Linked DNA regions of Caenorhabditis elegans. The protein of the gene in region 1 purifies or fractionates together with the protein of each later gene. This does not show direct contact. Each region holds a gene or a part of one and is shown on either strand. Other genes may lie near its edges.

Evidence for each region.
Region 2: the proteins of eri-1 (region 1) and rrf-3 purify together in Caenorhabditis elegans (affinity purification with mass spectrometry; 3 studies listed by BioGRID). This does not show direct contact.

The regions. Positions count from the first base shown.
Region 1 is NC_003282.8:413,878-421,895, reverse strand, and holds eri-1 (3'-5' exonuclease eri-1), read left to right. Parts: upstream 1-1,937; 5' UTR 1,938-1,944; coding exon 1,945-2,279; intron 2,280-2,496; coding exon 2,497-2,617; intron 2,618-2,671; coding exon 2,672-2,773; intron 2,774-3,304; coding exon 3,305-3,377; intron 3,378-3,420; coding exon 3,421-3,544; intron 3,545-3,609; coding exon 3,610-3,745; intron 3,746-3,793; coding exon 3,794-3,991; intron 3,992-4,557; coding exon 4,558-4,725; coding exon of another isoform or gene 4,726-4,815; exon of another isoform or gene 4,816-5,028; intron 5,029-5,065; coding exon 5,066-5,175; intron 5,176-5,231; coding exon 5,232-5,340; intron 5,341-5,710; coding exon 5,711-5,801; intron 5,802-5,937; coding exon 5,938-6,119; 3' UTR 6,120-6,261; downstream 6,262-8,018. Other genes in the region: Phosphatidylinositol 3,4,5-trisphosphate 3-phosphatase and dual-specificity protein phosphatase daf-18, read left to right, coding at 1-332, 900-1,298, 1,351-1,470; T07A9.12 (uncharacterized protein), read right to left, coding at 6,392-6,578, 7,306-7,454, 7,545-7,646.
Region 2 is NC_003280.10:8,159,902-8,168,823, forward strand, and holds rrf-3 (RNA-directed RNA polymerase), read left to right. Parts: upstream 1-2,563; 5' UTR 2,564-2,656; coding exon 2,657-2,724; intron 2,725-2,779; coding exon 2,780-3,389; intron 3,390-3,435; coding exon 3,436-3,671; intron 3,672-3,718; coding exon 3,719-3,832; intron 3,833-3,882; coding exon 3,883-4,240; intron 4,241-4,285; coding exon 4,286-5,105; intron 5,106-5,152; coding exon 5,153-5,424; intron 5,425-5,469; coding exon 5,470-5,711; intron 5,712-5,753; coding exon 5,754-5,965; intron 5,966-6,011; coding exon 6,012-6,699; intron 6,700-6,747; coding exon 6,748-7,471; intron 7,472-7,515; coding exon 7,516-7,973; intron 7,974-8,018; coding exon 8,019-8,124; intron 8,125-8,175; coding exon 8,176-8,367; intron 8,368-8,413; coding exon 8,414-8,611; 3' UTR 8,612-8,750; downstream 8,751-8,922. Other genes in the region: emb-27 (Cell division cycle protein 16 homolog), read right to left, coding at 28-237, 282-576, 627-993, 1,037-1,436, 1,483-1,987, 2,032-2,136, 2,183-2,268; T05C12.11 (uncharacterized protein), read right to left, coding at 8,781-8,922.

The DNA.
Region 1 (8,018 bases):
TAGACGCAGAGAAAGCAGCTAAAGGAATTGAAAATACTGGACCCAGTACTTCAGGATCAAGTGCTCCCGGAACTATCAAGAAAACGGAAGCTTCACAATCCGACAAGGTGAAGCCGGCAACTGAAGACGAACTTCCTCCTGCGAGGCTACCGGATAATGTGCGAAGATTTCCAGTCGTCGGCGTTGATTTCGAAAATCCGGAAGAAGAATCGTGTGAACACAAAACCGTAGAGTCAATAGCTGGTTTTGAACCACTCGAACATCTATTCCATGAATCATACCATCCAAATACGGCCGGTAACATGCTGCGTCAGGATTATCACACTGATTCGGTGAATTTGGTTTGAAATTTTAAATTTTGGAATTGAAAGTGAACTTTTTATATTATATGCGGGACCCCTCAATCTACTCACCTTCCTAGGTGTAATTTTTCTAATAATTATTCCTATTGCTATAGTTTCTAATTATATTTCTATATTATCAATATTATAATGTTTCCTCGCTGAAAACCTGCGTATTCATTCGTTGCCAGTGGTAAGTTATATTAATTTTCATTCAGATTTTTAGAGAAATATTTTGAGTATTTAGCTATCGTTATTAAAATAATGATTTTCGTATTGTTCTTAACATTCTGTTAGGTGACTATTTTCTTGTATCGTTGAAGTCCATGCTTCAAAAACAACGACTTTTTTGGCTTAAATACGCTTTCAACGTCGAAAATATTGCCTTAACATCACTTTGGGCAAATTTCTTATTTTGAATTCGATATGCTCGTTTTATTAGCTTCCAGAAAATATAACATTCGACCCATAACTCTCTGATCACCAAAAATAAGAACTCCTAGTAAGATCAAAAACTATCGGGAAATGTTGAATGTATTTTCAATATTTAACTTTCAGGAAGTGAAAATAGCTGAACAAGAGGCAAAAGCCTTCGTTGACCAGTTGCTTAATGGACAAGGTGTATTACAAGAGTTTATGAAGCAATTCAAAGTACCATCGGACAATTCCTTTGCTGATTATGTAACCGGACAGGCCGAAGTTTTTAAAGCACAGATTGCGTTACTGGAGCAGTCGGAGGATTTTCAACGAGTTCAAGCGAATGCAGAGGAAGTCGATCTTGAACACACTCTTGGTGAAGCGTTTGAGCGATTCGGGCACGTTGTAGAAGAATCGAATGGTTCTTCTAAAAATCCAAAAGCCCTGAAAACTCGAGAACAAATGGTGAAAGAAACTGGCAAAGACACTCAGAAGACCCGCAATCATGTGCTTCTACATTTGGAAGCTAATCATCGTGTGGTGAGTAATCTTTTTTATTTTTTATTATGTGATTAAAATGTTAATTTTTCAGCAAATCGAGCGTCGTGAAACGTGCCCGGAGCTACATCCAGAGGATAAAATCCCAAGAATTGCTCATTTTTCCGAAAACAGCTTCTCGGATTCGAATTTTGATCAAGCTATTTATTTGTAAACCTAAAACAAAACTTTTAGAAGATTTTCTTCTTACTGACCCTCCAATTTTCAGATAATTTCAATGTTTTAAGTTTTCTCTTCAAAGTATCATTCACTTTCTGTATAGTGTTTTGTTTTTTAACAAACTATTGTTCGATTATTTTGTATATTCATATTATAGCTCTCAACTTCCCGATTTTCCACGTATATATGTATATTTTGCCGGGTGAAAAATAGCAATTCCCTATGAATGTATCCCCTTCCATCTGTTTTCTTACTCAGAAATTGTAATTCACATTGCGGGTCATCACTAATCCTATGGGCTTTAACACAATTCTCCCATAAATTAATTGTACTTACCAATTTTTTGTTTAATTATTTAGATTTGTAACATTGAAATTGGTGATAATTCCAAAGAAAAATTATATTCTCCGATACATAGAATCTAGGCGCATTCGAATTTACATTGTTTTTCTAAAATTTCAGTTAAAAAATGAGCGCAGATGAGCCGTCTCCAGAAGACGAAAAATATCTGGAAAGTCTACGAGATTTGCTGAAAATCAGCCAAGAATTCGATGCAAGTAACGCAAAACAGAATGACGAACCAGAAAAAACAGCAGTTGAAGTGGAATCGGCTGAAACCAGAACCGACGAATCTGAAAAATCAATCGATATTCCACGTGAACAGCAACTTTTACCCTCCGAACGTGTTGAGCCTTTAAAATCAATGGTGGAACCAGAATACGTGAAAAAAGTGATAAGGCAAATGGATACAATGACTGCTGAACAGCTAAAACAAGCGTTGATGAAGATTAAAGTGTCCACAGGGTAAAATTATGCTAAATTCATTCAAACTTCTTATTTTCCTAACAGAACCCAATTTCGTACATTTAAGATATAGCTTTGCTTCATTTTTGATAGTTTTGTTAAAAAGAAACAGCATTTTTTGAATCATTTTGCGTTAAATATAGTCATCCGTAAAAGAAATAATGTAATTTTCTTACTAAAATTTCGAAATTAACTTAAATTATAACTCTAATTTCAGCGGAAACAAGAAAACTCTTCGAAAACGGGTTGCACAATATTATCGAAAGGAAAATGCATTATTGAATCGAAAAATGGAGCCGAATGCCGATAAAACTGCACGCTTTTTTGACTATTTAATTGTATGATTTTCAGAATTTCTGGAAAAGAAATACTTTAGTTATTAATTATTTCAGGCAATTGATTTCGAGTGTACGTGCGTCGAGATTATATACGATTACCCACACGAAATCATCGAATTACCGGCAGTTTTGATCGACGTTCGGGAAATGAAAATTGTAGGATTTTTTCATCTTTGAAAATGGAATATGTCGAATTACGCATGTCGTGTACTCCCCGCGGACAAGGATTGAACAGTTCTCAGTTGAAATTCTTGATTTTGGATTTTTCCTCTGGGGTTTCGGCTCGAATTTTATTTTTTTTTTTCGTGTTTTCCCGCAAGAAAATCATTTTTTCCGGGAAAAGGTGACAAACGTTTCGTCATCCTATCGAAATCTGGAATATAAAAATGTATTCAACAAAAAACGTTTCAAATACAACATTTTTCGTCTTTTTTGGGTTTCTTATTTAGCTATAAAATTTGTTTCGCTTGTGAAGAAAATATTGGAAAAAAATAGAAAAATCCTTCTCCCATTTTTCAATTTAAGGCAGATGGAAGTTCTTTGGTGTATTATCAAGTTATAAAAACTGACTAAACTGAAAGCTTTTTTTGTTTTGTTTTGTTTATTTATTTTAGGAATATAAATAAAAAACGAAAAATATATAACTTTATAATATCCATCGTCAAAATAAGCATATTTAATTTCCAGATCAGCGAGTTTCGAACCTATGTCCGACCTGTCAGAAATCCGAAGCTCAGCGAATTTTGTATGCAGTTTACCAGTAAGACACTAATGTCATTTTTAAAATGTAAACCCTGTTGTAGAAATTGCCCAAGAAACAGTCGATGCTGCTCCATATTTCCGAGAGGCTCTTCAACGGCTGTACACATGGATGCGAAAATTCAATCTCGGACAGAAAAATTCCAGATTCGCATTTGTTACTGATGGGTAAGGAATCGAAGACGATTTTTTGTTCACTAAAACTTCAAAGTTGTGCATAACGAACTATTCAGACCTCACGATATGTGGAAATTCATGCAATTTCAATGCCTTTTATCGAATATTCGAATGCCCCATATGTTCCGAAGTTTTATCAACATCAAAAAGACATTCAAAGAGAAATTCAATGGACTTATCAAGGGAAATGGAGTAAGTTTTTAAGGTTCAAATTTTAATTAAAACCTCAATTCTCTTCAGAAATCCGGAATTGAAAACATGTTAGAACGTCTGGATCTGTCGTTTGTTGGAAATAAACATAGTGGATTGGATGATGCAACGAATATTGCAGCGATTGCGATTCAAATGATGAAGTTGAAAATTGAGTTGAGAATTAATCAGAAATGCTCGTATAAGGAGAATCAACGGAGTGCTGCGCGAAAGGATGAAGAGCGAGAGGTTCGAAACAGACTACGTCGTTTTCACCCGATGGGTTGACTCTCCCATTCGGTCTCGGGTGTCAACAAGTGATTCCATGTTTTGAAAAAAGCTCTTCCCTCAACCCTTAAAATTTCGATATGAAATTGTTTCAGTGCATTTTTCACTAATTTGGAGACCTGTTGAATTGCTCTAAATGTTTTTTTGCAAAGTTCAATGTTTTTCAGAACGGTTATAAGTAGGTGAACACTCTGGGAGATTTTTGGACTTTTTTTTGTTGTGAAAATCTGAACATTTTTGGATCAAGTGGAGTGAAGAAACTTTCAGATTTTTTTCAAAAAATTACAAATTTTTGAAAAATCTCCCAGAGTGTTCACCTACTTCTAAACGTTCTGAAAAAACATTAAAGTTTGAAAAAAACGCATTTGGAGCAATTCTACAGGCCTCCAAAGTAGTGAAAACAGGCACTGAAACAATTCCAGATCGAAATGAAGTCTGACGATAAAATGGAAACCTTTCCTTCTTGTTAGGAAAATTAGGAAATAGTTCATCACAAATTTCAATTAAAAAGTTATTAAATTTTTCAGTTAGAAGACGCTGCAAACGTGGATCTTACATCAGTCGATATCTCTCGTCGTGATTTTCAACTTTGGATGCGTCGTTTACCACTGAAACTGTCCTCTGTGACACGACGAGAGTTCATAAATGAAGAGTATTTGGATTGTGATTCATGTGATGATTTGACTGATGATAAGGTGAAACATCTACATTCTTGTGATATTTATGAAATTTTCGATGAAAAAACTTCAGCTAGTTTTACAGATTCAAAGTGTTTGATTTGCTAGGCGAATTTTGGCAAAAGTATACTTATTGATGTAAACATTTTCCCTATCAATTTTGTGTCTTAGCCAACGAATTTCCAAATTTTATTTCAAAAGTAAAATTCCATGTCAAATTTTACATTTTTAGTTTAAAAATTATGTTTCTTCCAAGCCCACATTTTTCATTGAAACTGGTATAGTTGTATTTGATTCGCCCCGAATAAATAATTTTCTGTTTCCATGTTTTATACACACAAAAACTCAAAATTTTCAGAACGACGAGGCGGCATTCCAGGAAAAAATGGCAATTCGAGAGTATTTGGAGAATAAACAGACGGAAGATTTCGCGAAAATTGCTGCTGAGCGGGGAATTTTTAAAATTGGGTAATGGACTTTGGATGGAATTTTGAACAAAAAAATCTAGTTTCTGGCGTTTTCAGTGAAATAAAATCATATCAAACTGCAAGACCGATAATAGAGGATGATGACGTGGATGTTGAAAGTGAAGAGGAAGATTATGGAACTGAATTTGAAATGTTGGAAGTTGTGGTGAGAATGTTGAGAAAAAACACTTCAAAAATATCAATTTTGTTTTTAAAAATCAACGCCACGATTCGATGAATCGAAATTCAAAAATTCTCCGAAAAAGCGGAAAACTCTGCTTTTGAAATCAGAAATTTGCAATGTTTTCCGGGATAATCGAAAATTTCTTTCAAAAAAAAATTAATGTAGGTATAAATTTCAGATTCATCGTGGTGTGGATTTTAAAAATCCGCGAGAGAAAAAAATTCTGAATAACTAAGCTTTTCGATTTTCGTATAATACAAAACCGAACTTTTATTTTGTTTTCAAATTTTAATAAAATTCGAGCAAAAAACCAAATCGATTTGGAGTTTTAATAATTAATTTTTTCGTTCAGGAAAGAATGCCTCCAGTTAGTTCTACGTTACACACTGAAGTCGATTTAGATGCTGTATGGGAACGAGATGGTGGAAGTGATTCTGAAAGAGGTACGTCGAGGGAATTGCAATATGGAAATTGCATTAGAAAAAGCTTGAAATTCTGTTTGATTAAAATGTCAATTCAATTGCTCCCAAAGTTTAAATTATTGAATAGCACTTAAAAAACATAATTGTGAAAATTCAGAAAACCTCTCAAATGCTCCAAGTCTCCACGAGTTTCCATCGTCATCCACATCATCACCACATGCCACGTCAGAACATGTGACGTCATCATCACCACTTCATATCGACGATGACGTGGACCGCGTGTTGAATGCGCCGCCCAAAAATTCGTTGGCATCGTCTTCAAATCGATCTAGTTTCTAGATTTTCTTGTATACGAATTTAATTATTTTTGCAGGTTTTGTAGTATTCGAGTATTTCATTTTCATTTTTGATCTCAATTTTTTTTCGCTCCAATCTTTTTTCTCCTTTAAATCGCGTTTATATGAAATTTGTCACATGTTTTATTTAGGTTATACACGGATGACGTTTCAGATGGTATTTATTTGTATTTCTTTTGGAAACCCGTTGAAAATAGGAAAAAACAACAATAATGTACAGAAAATGATAGGAAATGAGAAGAATGAGCAGTTAAACTAGTTATTTGTTGCCCGACACATTTGAAATCCCCACGAAGCCAGGAGAAGCCACATTGGCAAAAAAACCATCCCATACGTATTCCGATTTGCAACTTCTGATTTCTCCAACTCTCCACTGATTTTTTCAACGATGAAGTATATGAAGAGCGTGATGCATGTGAGACGGAATATGTTGAGAATTACTCTGAAAAAAAAATATATATTGCATGTTCAATTTTGAATTTTCTGTTTTCACAGATGATTCGCATTTGGTCTGTCGCAAGTAGGAACACGTAATTTGCGTTCAACGGGCTATAATTTCGCAGTTATGTATTCCTACGGACTGGTCTCGCCACGATCTTTCCGGCGGCCGCTTCATTTTAATAAGAGTTTCAGAGTTGTAAAACCATTTTTGGAAAGACCACAAGAATCTTGAATTAAGCCAATATTTAAAAAATTTATTGCTGTGAGAACTATTTAAACTAATCTAAACGTCTTTAGGTACCAGAAAAGTTTCAGAAAAATGCAAAACAGAGACAGTTTTTCTGCGTTAGAGTTGTAAAAAGAAGGTTATTTCAGGCATTTAACTCGAACTCCAAAATTTTGATTTTTGCTCCAGGCATACGGTACCTGATCTCGAAACCATAAATGCGAAAAAATTGTGCGCCTTTAAGTGAGTTCTGTAATTTCAAACTTCAATTTTTGAAAAATTTCCATTGATTTCTTATGAAAATCGATCAAAATTCAGCAGCAGAGGAATTTTGAAATTTCAGTACTAAATATTTAATAAAGGTACACGTTTCTACATTTAACGACAAGTTCTCTTTGGTGCAAAAATTGCAAAACCGCGACTCCAGGTTTGCCAACAGTTGTTTATATATTTCATCAAACACAAATGAAAATTTTAAATTAAAAACAGGTTCAAAACTTACCTAACAGTAGGACCTCTATAATCCTTAAATTCGACACATGATCGAAGATAAATGATGAATACGAAAAAATAAGAAAATGCAAGTCCAACGAACAAAGGAGATGCCACCCACATATATGAGATTGATACTGTTTCGTGCAGTTTTAGACACTGAAATTATAACTGTTTTAGATGAACTTATTTATAACTGAAAAATAATATTCAAAATGGTTTACTTTCGTAAGCTTTTTTTCAACATACCAACATGACCGAAGATACGATAATTGCTGCAAAATGAACCCATAATTCGAACAATGTAATGTCAAACCAAGTTGTCATCTCTCGAAGTGTTAGAAGCACCATACTAAAATTCTGAAACTCGACTTTTGTACAAAAATTCTTAGAGGATATAAAAAATTAAAGGAACATATCAACCAAATTTTTTAATTTATCATCTTAAAGTCGTTGCAACATGTGCTTTGATAGCATGACGCCACTAGTTTTTTTTGCAGGACTTCGAAAAACTACGTAATATCAGTGATAGTGTCAGTTTGAATTTGATCACGGCCCGAGAAGTGGTACCTGTACGCAATTTGTCTACCGTACCACTGGCTGCGTTTATGCATTTTTCTCAAAAACGTCACCTTAGTTTTTTAAAATTTGGAAGACGAAATGACCAAAAAAAAAGTTATATAATTTTCGTAGGTGAATTTTTTCCATACCTTCTGTTTGAAC
Region 2 (8,922 bases), on another chromosome or scaffold:
TGGATGAATAAATAAAGTTGCGACATTTTACACTTGATTTCCTGCATCGTTATCTGGCTCTTGTGCATATAGTTGATCCTGTCTTCGCAAACGATCTCTCAGCATCGACATAAATGGTTGGCTTGACGATACGATGGACGGAACAACGAATCCATCATTTCGTGGTTTTCTTATTGCACAGTACGGAAGAATTTCTTGTGCACCGAAGTATGTTTCAGAGTTGTATGCGGGCGGGAGCTGAAAACAAAAAACCTAGATAACATAAGATATAGTATATTTACCGTTTGTTGATCAACAGAATAACTTTCTTTTGACGCTTGAATCATTTTTGACAGACATTGACGGATTGTTTCATTAAATGGATCGATCGCAAGAGCTTTATTGAAGAATTCAGTTGCTTTATCAATGTTGCCGAGAACTGCGTAACAGAGAGCAGTTGATGCAATGGCATCTACAAACTTTGGCTCCATTCGGATAGCTTTTTGATAAAACATGATTGCTTCATTCAGCCTTCCTTGCCGTCTGGCTATGTGGCCAATGTTATTGAGCATTGGGTGCCAAAAGTCGTCGATTTTCCTGAAAAAATGTTATTTTTCTCTCAAATAATCATCGAATTAGATACTTACTTTTTCAAGACTTCTTCAATTGGAATGATTTCATCGGTCTCTGTAACCATATACAAAACAGTTCTGAATAAAATATCGGCTTCCGCGTAACTTTTTGCAGTATAGGCTACACAAGCTTCTTCGTGACGAATCAGAGGGTCATTCGGTGCCCGAGCAACTGCTTCTCCCATGAACTTCTTGCTCAGCTTCTGACTATGCGTACTGTACTGAAGAGAAGTGTACAAGAACGGTTCAGAACTTTTATCCACAAGTTTCGACGCTCTGTAATAGCAACTCATGGACTGTTCGTGTTCAACTTCATAGTGAAGAATATGACCAAAAGCCACCCATCCTTCAGCAAACGTCGAATCCATCATCGTGCATTTACCTAAAGAAGCTCTATTTAAACCTCAATGAAATGGGAAACATACTGATGAAATTTCGAGCTCTTGAGTTTGCTCCAATACTATAATAATACATAGCAACACAATACCATGGAAGTGGAATATGAGGATCATCACTAACTAGTTGATGACCTAATTCAAGCAGAGATCGAGAATCCTTTAACATTGTTAGGCAGTGAATACGAAGAATAATGCACTCAGGATGTGGTCCAAATAGATCAAATAGCTCGTCAGTGATTTTTTTTGTTTCTCGAAATCGACCCATCTCGTAGGCACGTTGAGCACGTTCCATAAGAATTCGTGGATCATGATTTCCTTCGTGTAACTTCAGCTGTTCATTTCTGACTTTTCTGTACTTCTCCCACATCGCAGGCTCAACCAGATTGTATTTTGCCATTAATCGTTCGACATGGAGAGTTGTATTATCCTGAAATAATAAAACACGGTCAAATCATGTATAAAAGATGACTTACAAGACTCAGCGCGTAATTAATACAAATCATTGCAGCATCACGATTCATCAATTTCAAAAAACTTTCTGCTATGGTTATCATAAGAGCTGGAACCATTCTGAGCTTTTTAGAGCTATTATCCAATTCGGCCATATTTGCAAATGAGTACTTCATTCTTTCTTCCTCGACATATCTCCCCGTCACTTGTGAAAGTGTTCGAACAGGAAGAGGTCCAATTTGGCCATTACTTGGAAGAAGATGACCGACCGATAATTCAGCTACATCTTCGTATAATTTCCGTTGGAAAAGTGCGGTAGCGGCATAATAAGCAAAAACAATGTGAATCTGATGATAGTTCCCACGAGCAATAATATGGCTAATACGCCGCCATTGACGGAGAACGACGAGAATTTTTACGTATTCAGCGATGGTGACAATATCTTGCTGTTCATCATCAATTATATTAGAGTATAATGTATCCGCGTAAGCTACAGCTTCATCGGTTCTGCCGATTTCAAGCATTTCCCTAAAAATATAACATATTAATATATATGCTGGTCTCAAACTGACATCACTTTCTCCATGCTCGCCTCGTCATAATACTCCGATCCATCAATTCTACTTGCAAGTGTTTTAATCGGCTTGAAACGAATAGACTCGTGTTTCGGCAAATCTCTGAAAAATTGTAGTTTGAAAAAGAAATGTTATTTATTAAACTCACAAAGATGATGCTGGCTTGCTTGAGGAACCTTCATCAGCCAATGTCGGAATCGCAAAACTTTTTGTATCAGGCGAGATCGCGCTCATGCTGTAAAGGCTTCGTATATTTGTTTAGTAAGTAGAGAACTTAAGTTAAGCAACAAGAATTGTAAAATAGAAATTCAATAATGACGTTAATTGCAATGGAACTGTTGTGAAAAAGTGTTGAGATTATAGTCTTATTTTTAGATTATAATTTTACAGCTTACACGGAGTAGTTACAGCTACTTTAACTAAATAACATAAAGGCGCGCCTAGGCGCTTAAAAACAAAATAAAAAGGATTTAATGCTTGATCAAATTTAAATTTTAGCCGTAACTGCGGAGTCTCGTTGCTAATTGTCAATGGAGCGAACATACATCATCAAATTTTTGAATAAAATTGTTTCTCATTTTTTTCGTAAAATAAATGCCATTTTCAAAAAGTCTTTCACAAAATGCTCCCGTTTGATAATGATGACTCTAGCGATGATGCTACAACTTCTGTTAGGCCGAAGCATCCAAGGTAATTGAAATTCGGTGAGCAAACGGTAGTCAAATGAAACAATGTTTTTTTCCAGAGGAGTTCCTCAGAGTCAATCAACATTTCCACGTGGTAGATCGAATTTTTCGTCTGGAACTTTACCAAATCGAAAAACAGAATGCACTCCAGTGAACACCTTAACAATTGGGCATTCAAACAAGATGCTATTGACAACGTTTCGGATGGATCGAAATTCAAAATCTAAATCGGAAGTTGACGTACAAGAACAGCCTGTTCACTCTTCATCGTCGGCTTTTCCAGGAAATCATTTAAACAATTTTTCGTATCCAGTGAATCGTGGATATCTTCGTGATTACCTGCTACAGTCACAAAGGCCTTCTACTTCAAAACCAGTCGACTGTTCTGTTCTAAAACGGCACTCTCTCCCATCAACTCACATTCTTTATGAGAAAACGAAGCACAGAGGTGGTGTAAATATCGAAGAACAAGAAAAACTCGTGCGGATGTTATGGGCCGCTGCAGAAGAATCGGAAACAGTTGCGAAGACGAGACAGTTTAGTAAAAAACAGGCGATTGAGCTGAATTTCGATGCTAAGCTCATTGGCAGCATGAATAATGATTGCTTTGGATATTGCCGAGCACACATGGAAAATATAAAAGATGTTTTGAAAACACACTTGAAATTGGTAAGCGATTTTTTAATTGGCCGTATTTGAAACAATTTAATTTCAGTCTAAAGTTGACGAGGTAAACTGGATCAAGGTGGGGATGGTGCCACGAGCTGCGTACGAAGATAAATCATACGTCATCGATGCTCATTTAGTTTTGACGCCAAACGGTGAAGTAGAAGATGAAAATGAATTGTTCTCCGAGTTCGCATCAAGTTTCACATCTAGAATAACTGGAATGCTCCATGATCAAGTATTTTTGGAAGTCCCGAAAATGCATACGCTTTTCACAAAAATAACGTAATAGAATACTCATCCGCTTTTTATATACTCAAGTTATAATTTAGACCCCAACACATGGATATAAATATTTCTGCGATTGCGATTGGAAACTGCCCTAATTCAGGACTTTTCCTTGTTAGAGGAGATTTCATCAGTCAAGAAAACACAGTTTGTAGTGTGTAAGTTGCACATATTCTACAGAATTTCTAATCAGATTTTTGTTTTTAAGAAAGCTTCAGTCACACCATAATGCAGATGCATCCCGTGAAAACAGTTCATTCAAAGTGGCAGGAAGCAATAAATACCTCTCGTATGCGAGATTTGAGCATGACAAAAGACTGGCAGTGGTATATTTCGGAGTTCGATTAGCCGAATTCGCTGATGATGGTTTGGATCATGCCGGATTTCGTCTTAATCTATATTATAATTTGTTTGTTCGAATTGTTGTCGACATGTCTCATGAAACTACGAACAGTATTTATATACAAATGAAAAATCCACCGCATCTCTGGGAAGGAATTCCGAAAAATACGATTTTTCACCCATCAAAGTCGAAGGTTCTCAATATGGAAACGTGCACAGAATGGGTGATATGGTATGCAAATAACTTTTAAAAACTTGTAAATTTTCAGACAAGAGTATTGAGTTGGCCTGGCGATGCTGAGGGCCGAGGTGTCGGTTGTACTTCTGAAGCTTTCTCGCAAAGCTCCTGGATCCGGTTGACAATGAGAAAAGATGATGATAACGATTCGGTATCGTCTACACAATTGATGGATATTGTTACTAGACTTTCTGCTCGAAGCAAAGCAAAAGTGATGTTCGGCTCCATTTTTTCAATTCGCCGAAAACTTGCACCATCCCCGGCTTTCCATTCTCTGGGATCTTTCCGAGCGAATTATGCTCTCCAGGCTCTAATCACACGCGGAAGTGTATTTACGGACCAACTTTTCGACGCAACTGATGAAAATATTCCAAGTTCAGACAATGACAATGATGAAGATGATGACGATGATGTTGATGACACGAAAAAGCCAATGGAATTAGTACACGAGCCGCTCTTTCTGAAATTAGTTCGTAGGGGAATGAAAGAATGCTCTCAAGCCACAGAAGAGACTCTCGAACAACTTTTGAATGCATTTGATGAACGTCGTCAAATCGATGTAGTTACCGCGTTCACAACAATGTATCAATCAAGAAAGATTCAATACGAAAGACTTCTGAAAGGAGAAAGCCTTCAAGATGTAGGCCTTGCAAAGCCATTGCCGAAGAATTGTGTTTCAGTGGCTAAAGTTATTGTAACACCATCTCGAATACTGCTAATGGCTCCAGAAGTAATGATGGTAAATCGAGTTGTTAGAAGATTTGGACCTGATTATGCTCTTCGTTGTGTGTTCCGAGATGACAATCTGGGCCGGCTCGCTATTCGCGACTTTTCCATCAATAATATAGATCGTAAGAAATTCTTTAAATATTTTTAAATATATTATCTAAGTTTCCAGACATGTCGAATATTGTCACCGAAGGAATTTATTTGACTCTCAAAAATGGAATTCAAGTTGCTGATCGTGTCTACAGTTTTCTAGGATGGAGTAATTCTCAAATGCGTGATCAAGGATGTTATTTATACGCTCCTCGAGTCAATGCATTAACTGGTGAAGTCACAGGAACTGTAGAAGATATTAGAGTATGGATGGGAGATTTCCGAGATGCGATTAGTGTTCCAAAGATGATGAGTCGAATGGGACAATGCTTTACACAAGCACAACCAACGGTATATTCTAGTGTTAAAAATATTCATATAGTCGAAAATATTCAGGTACGTCTTGAACGACATCACTGGATCGTTGAACCTGACATTGAAGGTGGTGTAGAGAACAAATATTGTTTTTCTGATGGTTGTGGTCGAATTTCTATCAAACTGGCAACACATATATCTAAGATTCTCCAATTGAAGGAAGTACCAGCTTGTTTCCAAGTGCGATTTAAAGGTTTCAAAGGAATTCTAGTTATTGATCCAACAATCGATGATATTATAAATATGCCTAAAGTTATCTTCAGGTAGTGATGATCTATCAAACAAATTATATGATCAATTTTCAGAAAAAGTCAGCAAAAGTTTGGTGAAGGTGGTGGAGAGCTGCAAGATGAATACCTCGAAGTAGTAAAATACGCTATGCCATCTCCAGTTTGTCTCAACCGTCCATTCATTACAATCCTGGATCAAGTGTCGGAAAAACAATCTGCAAGCTCTCACAGAAGGATCACAAATCGTGTTCATTATTACTTGGAAAGAGAACTATGTTCTCTGAGTAGTATGTAGTTACTGTATGGTTACAAATCATAATCTCCTAATTTTAGATATGCTCATAAATGAAAATCAAGCAGCAGAAGAGCTAGTCAATCGCACAAACTTGGCAATCGACTGGAACGCAGCAAGCAAACGAGCCGGGTTCGAATTGAGTGTAGATCCATTGATACGAGATATGCTATTCTCTATTTATCGCTACAACATCATCCATCACATTTCTAAAGCTAAAATTTTCTTGCCTCCAAGTTTGGGAAGATCAATGTACGGTGTTGTCGATGAGACTGGACTTTTACAGTACGGACAGGTTTTCATCCAGTATTCACCAAGTATCCGACAAACCAGTAACCGTCCAATATTGAAAACAGGCAAAGTTTTGATTACCAAAAATCCGTGTCACGTTCCTGGAGATGTTCGAGTTTTCGACGCAGTTTGGCAACCAGCATTAGCTCATTTAGTCGATGTTGTAGTATTTCCACAACATGGCCCACGACCACATCCCGATGAAATGGCAGGTTCAGATTTGGATGGAGATGAGTATTCTATAATATGGGATCAAGAAATGCTACTCGATTATAATGAAGAAGCAATGGTTTTTCCGAGTAGTTCAGCTGCAGAAGAAGACAAAGAACCTACTACAGATGATATGGTTGAATTCTTCCTTCGATACCTTCAACAGGATTCAATTGGAAGAATGAGTCACGCTCATTTGGCTTATGCTGATCTTCACGGACTTTTCCAGTATGTTCCTTGAAATTATCCATGTTAAGCCAATATCTTATTTTTCAGCGAAAATTGTCACGCCATCGCGCTCAAATGTGCAGTAGCTGTAGATTTTCCGAAAAGTGGAGTTCCCGCGGAACCATTGTCAAGTTTCGAGCAATGCGAAATGACACCTGATTATATGATGTCAGGTGGAAAACCGATGTACTACAGTACCCGATTAAATGGACAATTGCACCGAAAAGCTCGAAAAGTTGAAGAAGTTTTGGAAGAATTTGAAACACGCGGGAGTGTATTCGAAAGAGAATATGATAAACTGATTTGTCCAGAAGACGTTGATGTTTTCTTCGGAAATGAAATAAAACTTGTACAAACATTGACTCTTCGCGATGAATACGTTGATCGAATGCAACAACTTTTGGATGAATATGGAATTGAAGACGAAGCTTCAGTTGTGTCTGGACATGCTGCAAGTATCAAGAGATTAGCTGGAATGGAGAGAGACGACTATTCATTTTATCACACTGATAAGGTCGTTGAGCTTCGTTATGAAAAATTGTATGCTGTATTTCGTGCAAAATTCTTTGAAGAGTTTGGTGGAGAAGAAATCAACATTGAGAATGATGGAAAGAACACTCGGTTGAAATGTACGAAGGCAATGCATGAAAAGATTCGGCAATGGTATTTCGTGGCATATGTGCAGCCAAAGATAAATAAGGCTGGAAGATGCATTGGACAGAGTCTTCCCTGGGTTGCTTGGGATGCATTGTGTGATTTGAGGCGACAATTAGTAAGTTAAAATTATGAAATAAATATATTAATTTTTTGTTGCAGATGCTCGATAAAAATGACGCAGTTTTACGAGGCAAATATCCAATTGCTGCTCGTTTAGAAGAGGAGATCGAAAACTCCATTGAAAGGCAGTTTGACAAGTTTCTCAAATTGAAAGATTTGATTGAATCTCACAAAGATGCGCTTTTCCTGAGACGATACGTATATTTTTATGGAGATCAGATTATAAAAATGTTGTTCATCCTGAAAGTTTGGCTTGAACGAGAAAATGTGCTCCCATCAAGTGTTTTGTCGATTTGGCAGCTGGGAAGACTTTTGATTCGTCTAGGGCTCGGAGATCTCCTGGGAAATCCCACTATTGATTATGAAAAAAGTCTTCTGATGCCAACAACAATGTTTCAGCAATGGATTTCGAAGAAAGAAGATGCAGATGAAGCTCCGATATTGAGAAATTTCGATATGGGAACAATGATGCTCGAATTTCTCAGATATTTGGCAAGGTAAATTTAAAAATCTAGTGTTGGAAAAATTTTTCAATATTTCAGTCAATCTTTCGCATCAGCTGAAAGCATAAGTCTTCGAGTTTTCTACGAAAAAGATATTGTTGAGCCAATACTTACTAAAAGTGCACAATGGATGCCTTTACATCTTGTAAGCTCGATCTTTAATATTCCAGATCTATCAACAAAAAACATATTCCAGATTGCATATCGTACATTTCATTCCATCGCTGTGTCTGGACGGTTTGATGCGCTTCATTTGGACGATGAGGATGCGGTGGATCAGATTACAGAAAGCAAGGATCCAATACTAGTTAACGAGTCATTGTTCTCTTCGAGAAACTACAACGATGATTATCCGATCAGTAGGAGTAGAATATTGCAATCTTTGAAGGTAAGTGGTTCGAAAATACTTTTCGTTTCTAGTGAAAAACTTTCAGGATTGGTCTGGTGTCAAAGAAATAATTCCTCGCGAAATCACTGGAACTCGGAAGTCTGATATGATCTATGTTACATCAGTTGGAACGGTTCTTGCACGACAACGCCTCGCTCGACTTTTACTTCTCAGTGGAGAGACAATTAGGGACGCGATTGCCAACAACGTCGTGCCGAATGAAGTACGCGACGAGTTCTTGTAATATAGATTTCCACTTATATCATGTTTTATGTTTTGCTTGTTTTATAGAATTTTTAATGATGAGACGAGTATATTTGTATGTGTAATAATGTTTTGATCTCGGTTCGATTTTCAGATAAATTTATTGGGTTTTTTTAAATTGGAAAGAAATATTATTTTAAATCACATATTCAAGCATCAACTGCAAATGGAGATTTACCACCTCTTGGCTTAGTCATTAGATAGAAAACTGTAAAAGTTCCGAAAACAGCAAGAAAAAGCATAATAGTACAAACAATAACAGAACAAAGTACAAATGTGATTGACCATTCC